2 linked regions of the Macaca fascicularis genome follow. The protein of the gene in region 1 purifies or fractionates together with the protein of each later gene. This does not show direct contact. Links are inferred from orthologs where the notes say so. Each region holds a gene or a part of one and is shown in the gene's direction. Other genes may lie near its edges. The genes, in order: VASP and PFN1.

What was found.
Region 2: the proteins of VASP (region 1) and PFN1 purify together in Homo sapiens (affinity purification with western blotting; 3 studies listed by BioGRID and IntAct, with this or other methods). This does not show direct contact. The link is inferred for Macaca fascicularis from reciprocal best matches to the Homo sapiens genes VASP and PFN1.

The regions. Positions count from the first base shown.
Region 1 is NC_088393.1:53,578,353-53,582,155, forward strand, and holds part of VASP (vasodilator-stimulated phosphoprotein), read left to right. Parts: intron 1-2,280; coding exon 2,281-2,452; intron 2,453-2,548; coding exon 2,549-2,714; intron 2,715-3,803. UniProt on the Homo sapiens protein: Ena/VASP proteins are actin-associated proteins involved in a range of processes dependent on cytoskeleton remodeling and cell polarity such as axon guidance, lamellipodial and filopodial dynamics, platelet activation and cell migration.
Region 2 is NC_088390.1:5,064,437-5,068,591, reverse strand, and holds PFN1 (profilin-1), read left to right. Parts: upstream 1-1,414; 5' UTR 1,415-1,577; coding exon 1,578-1,709; intron 1,710-3,109; coding exon 3,110-3,511; 3' UTR 3,512-3,526; downstream 3,527-4,155. UniProt on the Homo sapiens protein: Binds to actin and affects the structure of the cytoskeleton. At high concentrations, profilin prevents the polymerization of actin, whereas it enhances it at low concentrations. By binding to PIP2, it inhibits the formation of IP3 and DG.

The DNA.
Region 1 (3,803 bases):
CGAGAAGCGTTCTTGAGTGGGAAGGTCACGTGCCTGAGTCACATGAAGTAGGTGGCTCAGTGGGGATTTGAACCCAGGTCTGGGGATATCAGCTCCTGAACTCTGCACCAGTTTACTGACACCTCCCGCCCAGGCTGAGTCAGATGTTGCCTTTTCCAGGAAGTCCTGCCCGACTGTCCAGCTGGGGCAGGCGTTCCTTCAGGGCACCACCAGACCCTGGGCTCTTTGGTCCTATCCCTGGGTTGGTACCGTCTGGGGACAGCTGTGTCTCCCACACTGGACTGTGAGCCCCAGGAGGGTGGTGCCGGGGCTGTCTGGGTCACTGCTGTGTCTTCATCCCCAGCCCCACCCAACAAGGGCCAGACACGGAGCAGGGAGTATCTGGGGAATGGCCGCTAGTGCCCTGGGGAGCCAGGCGATGGGTGGGCAGCGGGAAGTCCCTTTGGAGGAAGAGCTCAGAGGTCTGGGATGGATCCCCAACCTACTGCAGGCCCCACACTTCCCCTTCCAAGTCTCAGCTTCTTCCTGAGCAGGCAGTGGTGGCGTGGGGGCATGTCCAAGCCTGCTGGTAGAGATAGGGAAACTGAGGCCAGGCAGGGGCTGGTCCCTAGTGCAACTCTGGGCTCTTGGCCTCCTTCTGGCCCCTCTGTCTTCCCTCCTGCCCTCGCTCTGCTAACCTGCATCCCTCCCCGCCGGCGTTGGCCTCAGCCTCTTACACCTCTCAGCCTGTCTCTCCATCTTTATCTTTTTTTTTTTTTTTGAGACAATCTCACTTGTCGCCCAGGCTGGAGTGCAGTGGCATGATCTTGGCTCACTGCAAGCTCCACCTCCCAGGTTCACGCCATTCTCCTGCCTCAGCCTCCTGAGTAGCTGAGACTATAGGCGCCCACCACCACGCCAGCTAATTTTTTGTATTTTTATAGAGATGGGGTTTCACCTTGTTAGCCAGGATGGTCTCGATCTCCTGACCTCGTGATCCGCCCGCCTCGGCCTCCCAAAGTGCTGGAATTACAAGCCTGAGCCACCGTGCCCAGCCTCCATCTTTATCTTTTCCTTCTTGTTAGTTTTGTTGTGTTGTGTTTTTTATTTTTCATTAAAAATTTTTTTTTGTAGTCTGGGTATGGTGGTTCACCCCTATAATCCTAGCACTTTGGGGGGCTGAGGCAAATGGACCACTTGAGCCCAGGAGTTCGAGATCAGCCTGGCCAACACGGTGAAACCCTGTCTCTACTAAAAATACAAAAAATTAGCTGGGCTTGGTGGTGCGTGCCTGTGATCCCAGCTACTCACGTGGCTGAGGCAGGAGAATGGCTTGAACCTGGGAGGCAGAGGTTTTGGTGAGCCGAGATCATGCCACTGCATTGCAGCCCGGGTGACAGAGTGAGACTGTCTAAAAAAAAAAAATTAGTTGGGTGTGGTGGTGCATGCTTATAGTCCCAACTACTTGGGAGGCTGAAGTGGGAGGATCAATTGAGCTCAGGAGATCGAGGCCACATTCCAGCCTGGGTGACAGAGCAAGACTGTGTCTCAAAAACAAAACTGAAACTAAAAGTAATTATTATTAGAGATTATCATGAGGATTTTGTGCGTTCCAGTGTGCCCGTGCACACCTATGCATAAAATGCACGATTGGCCTAGCGTGGTGGCTCATGCCTGTAATCTCGGCACTTTGGGAGGCCGAGGCAGGTGGATTACCTGAGGTCAGGAGTTCAAGACCAGCCTGCCCAACATGGTGAAATGGCGTCTCTACTAAAATACAAAAATTAGCTGGGCAGCTGGGCTGGTCTGAAATGCTTGGGCTTAAGTGATCCTCCTGCCTCAGCCTCCAAAGTGCTGGGATTACAGGTGTGAGACACCATGCCAAGACCATCTTGATCTCTTTCTATGTCTTTCTGCCTTTTCCTCCAGGTCCGCTGTCTGCCCATCCTTTTTCCCCTCCCCTCCCCTATCTGTTCATCTGTCTGTCTGTCTGCCTTTCAGTCTGTCTCTCTCCCGTTTGTCAACCCAGCTCTCCCTTTCCCACCTCTCTCTGCATCTGTCTCTTCCACTTCCAGTTTCTCCCTCCCTGTGTCTGTCTGTCTTACGTCTCGTTTGTGTGTTTGTCCGTCTCTCCTGGTCTGATTTTCTCTCCTGATCTCTCTCCCCGCTCTCTTTCTGTCCACCTGGCTCCTGCCTCCCTCACTCTCTTCCTTCCACACTCTGTCTTTGTCCCTTGGAATCTCCCAGGGAGACCCAGATGAGAAGGTGACCGGCCCCTCTCCCTTTTCCTCCCGCCTGCAGCGAGACGGTCATCTGTTCCAGCCGGGCCACTGTGATGCTTTATGATGACGGCAACAAGCGATGGCTCCCTGCTGGCACAGGTCCCCAGGCCTTCAGCCGCGTCCAGATCTACCACAACCCCACGGCCAATTCCTTTCGCGTCGTGGGCCGGAAGATGCAGCCCGACCAGCAGGTACAGCTTCCCGCAGGCCCCTCTTTGCGGGCTCAGCCCCTACCTGCCCCACCCCTGCGCCTGCCACCCCTCACCCTCCCTTTCCCCTCCCACCAGGTGGTCATCAACTGTTCCATCGTCCGGGGCGTCAAGTATAATCAGGCCACCCCCAACTTCCATCAGTGGCGCGACGCCCGCCAGGTCTGGGGCCTCAACTTCGGCAGCAAGGAGGATGCAGCCCAGTTTGCTGCCGGCATGGCCAGTGCCCTAGAGGCGTTGGAAGGTCAGAAACAGCGGTGGGCAGTGGGTGGGCAAAGGGGACCACTGAATGCGGCTGTGTGGCCTCAGGCTGCCGGTTTACCACTCTGGGACTTTGCTTACTCATTGGTAAAATGGAGCAAATTCATTGCTATCATGGAAAATTATCATGAGGATTTTGTGCGTTCCAGTGTGCCCGTGCACACCTATGCATAAAATGCACGATTGGCCTAGTGTGGTGGCTCATGCCTGTAATCTCGGCACTTTGGGAGGCCGAGGCAGGTGGATTACCTGAGGTCAGGAGTTCAAGACCAGCCTGCCCAACATGGTGAAATTGCGTCTCTACTAAAATACAAATTAGCTGGGCGTGGTGGCAGGCACCTGAAATCCCGGCTACTTGGGAGGCTGAGGCACGAGAAGCACTTGAACCCAGGAGGTGGAGGTTGCAGTGAGCCGAGATCGTGCCACTGTGCACTTCAGCCTGGCGACAGAGCAAGACTCCTTCTCAAAAAGAAAACAAACACACAAAAAATGCATAATTACTCAGGGATCAGTACTCCATGAACTTTACACAGGCACACTCCTGGCAAACCACCTCCCAGATCAAGACATAGGTAGGTACCGCCCCAGAAACGGGATCTTGCTCTGTTGCCCAGGCTGGTGTGCACTGGCACAATCATGGCTCTCTGCAGCCTCCACCTCCTGGGCTCAAGTGAGCCTCTTGCCTCAACCTCCTAAGTAGCTGGGAATACAGGTGTGCATCACCATACCTGGCTCTTTTTTTGAGACAGAGTCTTGCTCTGTCACCCAAGCTGGAGTGCAGTGGTGTAACCTCAGCTCACTGCAATCTCCACCTCCTGGGTTTGAGTGATTCTTCTGGGGGACAAGAGTGAGACTTCATCCCAGAAAAAAAAAAGAGCCTCCTGAGTAGCTGGGGTTACAGGCATGCGCCACCATGCCCAGCTATTTTTTTGTATTTTGTTTTTATTTTTATTTTTTTATTTTTTTGAGACAGAGTCTCGCTCTGTCGCCCAGGCTGGAGTGCAGTGGCGTGATCTCGCCTCACTGCAACCGCCGCCTCCCGGGTTCAAACGATTCACCTGCCCTAGCCTCC
Region 2 (4,155 bases), on another chromosome or scaffold:
GCCGCTCCTCCCGGGATTTTTCCACCCTGGGGTGGGGGTGCGGCGGGTCAGGGGTCAGGAGATGGCGGGCGGGGAGCGCCGCCACGTGCCCGGGTGCGGCCCCGCCCGAGCCCGCCAGTGACTCAGCCGCGCGGCTGTCGAGGAACACGGGCTCGAGGGGCGTCGGGGACTGTGGGGTTCGGCGTGGACGCCAGGGATGCGCGCCGCACTCGGGAGGAGGAGAGAGAAAACCAAGCCCCTTTCCGCCCGGGCCGCGCTCCGTGACCTCGCGCCCCTAACCCAGGCTCCGGAAGCGGCCCAGCCCTCGGCGGCGGGTCGGAGAAGACGGCTTCACCTCGGCCGCCACCCGGCCGCCCCGCCCTCCCCAGGTGGCGGCGAGCGCACATCTGACTGAGAAGAAACCCAAAGGGCCCGAAGTGGGACTTTCCCCTTCTTGAAAAAGTTGCCACTCTTGCAACTTGAGTATTCTTCCGCCTCGAAAAATAGCCCCGCCTGTTAAGCCCCGCGGGTGTCCGCGCTCAGTGACCTCTGCAGACTCAGGCCAAGGGGCACGGCCGGTGATCCAGACATTGCCTGCCCGGGGCGGGCGCGGCTGGGATATGGGATAAGGCCCTGGGCTAGAGCCGATCCAGAGAAGGGACAATCCTCTGGACTGAGAATGGGCCCTGGTGAACCTAACCTGCACTACCCGGGAAGACGCTGGGGACCGAAGTGGCCCCGGTGGGTGCCTTCAGCTATGAGAGCGACTAGGGTATTTGGCCAAACTCCCTTTGCTTTCCTATTGAATAAGTAAAATCAAGGGTGGTGAGGCGGCAGCGTGCACGGCTTCGCCCCCGCCCTTTCCGCCAGGCGGGAGACACGTCCCCAGCCCGCCTTCCTTTCCCGGAGGGTCCACAGGGGTCGGGTCGGGCGCGCTCCCGTGCAGCCGGCTCCGGCCCGGACCGCCCCATGCGCTCTCCCTCCCGGCCTTGGCGCAGGCGCAGGCGCGGGCACACGCGCCGCCGCCCGCCGGTCCTTCCCTTCGGCGGAGGTGGGGGAAGGAGGAGTCATCCCGTTTAACCCTGGACTCCCCGAACTCTCCTTAATTTGCTAAATTTGCGGCTTGCTAATTCTTCCTCCTTTCTCTTCCCTTCCTTCCTTCTGGCTCACTCCCTGCCCCGATAGCAAAGTCTGGTTTATATTCAATGCAAATTGGAGCAAACCCTACCCTTCACCTCTCTGCCGCCACCCCCCATCTTTCTACATTGCTTTCCATCGAACTCTGCAAATTTTGCAATAGGGGGAGGGATTTTTAAAATTGCATTTGCAAACTTCGGTGTCTGGGCTGGCGAGTGGGGGAGGGAGGGAATGGGGAGTAGGCCCCGCCCCTACCGTCCTTTGCAAATAAAAATCTAGCGGGGCGGGGGGGAGGAGCAGGAAGTGGCGGTGCGAGGGCTGCTGCACAGCGAGCAGAGCCGCGGTCCGGACGGCAGCGCGTGTCTCGAGCTCTCCGCCTCCCCCCGCCCGCCAGCCGAGGCAGCTCGTGCCCAGCCCGCGGCCCCAGCAGCAGCGCCGAGAGCAGCCCCAGTAGCAGCGCCATGGCCGGGTGGAACGCCTACATCGACAACCTCATGGCGGACGGGACCTGTCAGGACGCGGCCATCGTGGGTTACAAGGACTCGCCCTCCGTCTGGGCCGCCGTCCCCGGGAAAACCTTCGTCAACATCACGGTACTGCGAGGCCTGCGGTCCGGGGCACTGGTCGGGCTTGGACCCTGTGGGAGGGACTTGGGTGGGGGCGGGCGCGGTCTAGAGCGCGCAGCGAGAGGCCCTGACTGGGTGCTTGTCCTGGAAGCGGCGCGAATGGCGGCTGCACGTGAGCGGGTCCCTCGGTTGCTCCTAAGTCGTATGCCCCAGGCGGCGGCGCCCATCCCGCCCGCTACCCCGCTTTCCGCGACGGGGCGTTACATCCGGGGCACAGGGCGGGGAGGGGCGCGGCGCCCGGTGCGGCGGCCCACTTCCGCCTCTCCCAGGGCGGGGTGGGGACGCGCCTCAATTTTAATTGGGGATTGGGATTGAGAGGTGACCCGGGGACCCTCGAATCCCCAGCTCCCCGTCCGGCCGCCAGCTCGCGCCCCTCTACCATTGTTTCCCCTGGTGCGGGAGGGAGCCCCAGGCGCGTGGTATTGGTCCCTTGCCCACCCTCTGTGGACTCCCGGCCCCTCCCAACTCCGTTAGAGAGGGCGAGGCCACCACACGCCCCCCCAGCTCAGCACGTTGGACTCAACATTCCTGCGAGGCCAATCCCGGAAGTCCCCTCGCCCTCCCTTCCCGCCATCCGGCGGGGCCTGGAGCAGGGGAACTTTGTGAGAAGTTCTGAGACAGCATAAGCGAAAGAATATGAGTTGACTACCGCTGCTCCCACCACCATCTCCCTGTCCACACTGCCCGGAAGTGGGGAGGGGGAGCGGAAGTTCGAAAGGGGGGGAAGGGGGTTTCCGGGCGGGAGGGAACCGGATGTGGGGGCTTGGGGTGAAAGGGGGAGGGGGGAAAAGGTTCCTGGGGTACCTAGACCCGAGAGCTGACTTGCCGGGTCTAGCCCCCGTCCACCTTCAGAAGTTTTCCAACTTTCCCGGAAAGCCCCCAGGGGTCTGCTTCCTCTTGTCAGGGCAGACATACCTGGAGCTAAACTAGGTTACTTGGAGACCCAGGCGTCCGGGCCCTAAGAGCTCCTGCAGAACCTTTGACCAAATAAGGGCAAAGTTGCTTCTCTTGCCTCGCCCGCCCCCCTCCCTTCCCCTCTCCGCTTCTGCTTTTCCTGAAGGAGAGTTCTGAGCATCCAAAGACTCCTCACTTTTATCACTGATTCCCTTTATTTCCTGGGTTTACTTTCCCCCATTAACACTGAGATCTAAATCTCTAGAGGAGTATATCATCTCTTCCTCCCTAGTCCCATATTCTAGGTTTGAGAATCATGATCGTTTTCTGCACTAACGTTCCACAGTCCTCAGAGTTTCTCACAGTTTATTGATGGGTACTGAGTATATAACTTCGCGGGGTGGGTCTTTGGAGAACAAGGTGGGAATCTTGGTGCACTGACTAACTTGATGGGCGCTTGGTTCCTCTTCCAGCCAGCTGAGGTGGGTGTCCTGGTTGGCAAAGACCGGTCAAGTTTTTACGTCAATGGGCTGACACTTGGGGGCCAGAAATGTTCGGTGATCCGGGACTCACTGCTGCAGGATGGGGAGTTTAGCATGGATCTTCGTACCAAGAGCACCGGTGGGGCCCCCACCTTCAATGTCACTGTCACCAAGACTGACAAGAGTGAGTTCCTGAGTCTTACCATTCCTCTAGCGTCAAGATCTCTCATGTACCGCCTTCTGGTAATCTTGAGGGTGCTTTCTTGTGTGATTCCCCAGCATGAAGGCAGTCAGACCAGTATTCTGCCCCTTGTCTGCTGGATGCTGGATGGAACATGGGATAGTCCCTCCATTTCCGTCTCAGTTCCTCATCTTGTAATTCGAAGTTGTTGAACTGCATTACCTCTTAAGTTACTTCCTGCCTTGAGCTCGGATTAGAAACTGTTTTCTAGGAGTATAGGTAGATTCTTGGGGTCCTGAATCATCATCTAGTTAATCGTTTGAGCTCTTTTGTTAGAACCTGGAGGTGGCATGCTCATCCACAGCCCTTTCTAGCCTGAACACGAGTCAACAGTCTATGAGCCTTTGACCCCTAAGTTTTTAGTCTGTTCCTCTCCAGCATTTAAGCTTGATTTTCCTCTTTTGAAAAGCCTTATTGTTTCAGGGTGACTGACAGCCTGCCTGTGTGTGTGTGTTGGGGGGGGTTGGGAGAGATGAGGTTGGGTTACAGCCCCCAGGGCTGGACAGCTGCTGAACAGCTGGCAGGGGGTGGAATTGTGACACCTGGGTCCTAGCCTCCTTTCTCTTTCCTCCTCCAGCGCTAGTCCTGCTGATGGGCAAAGAAGGTGTCCACGGTGGTTTGATCAACAAGAAATGTTATGAAATGGCCTCCCACCTTCGGCGCTCCCAGTACTGACCTCGTCTGTCCCTTCCCCTTCACCGCTCCCCACAGCTTTGCACCCCTTTCCTCCCCCATACACACATACACCATTTTATTTTTTAGGCCATTACCCCATACCCCTTATTGCTGCCAAAAC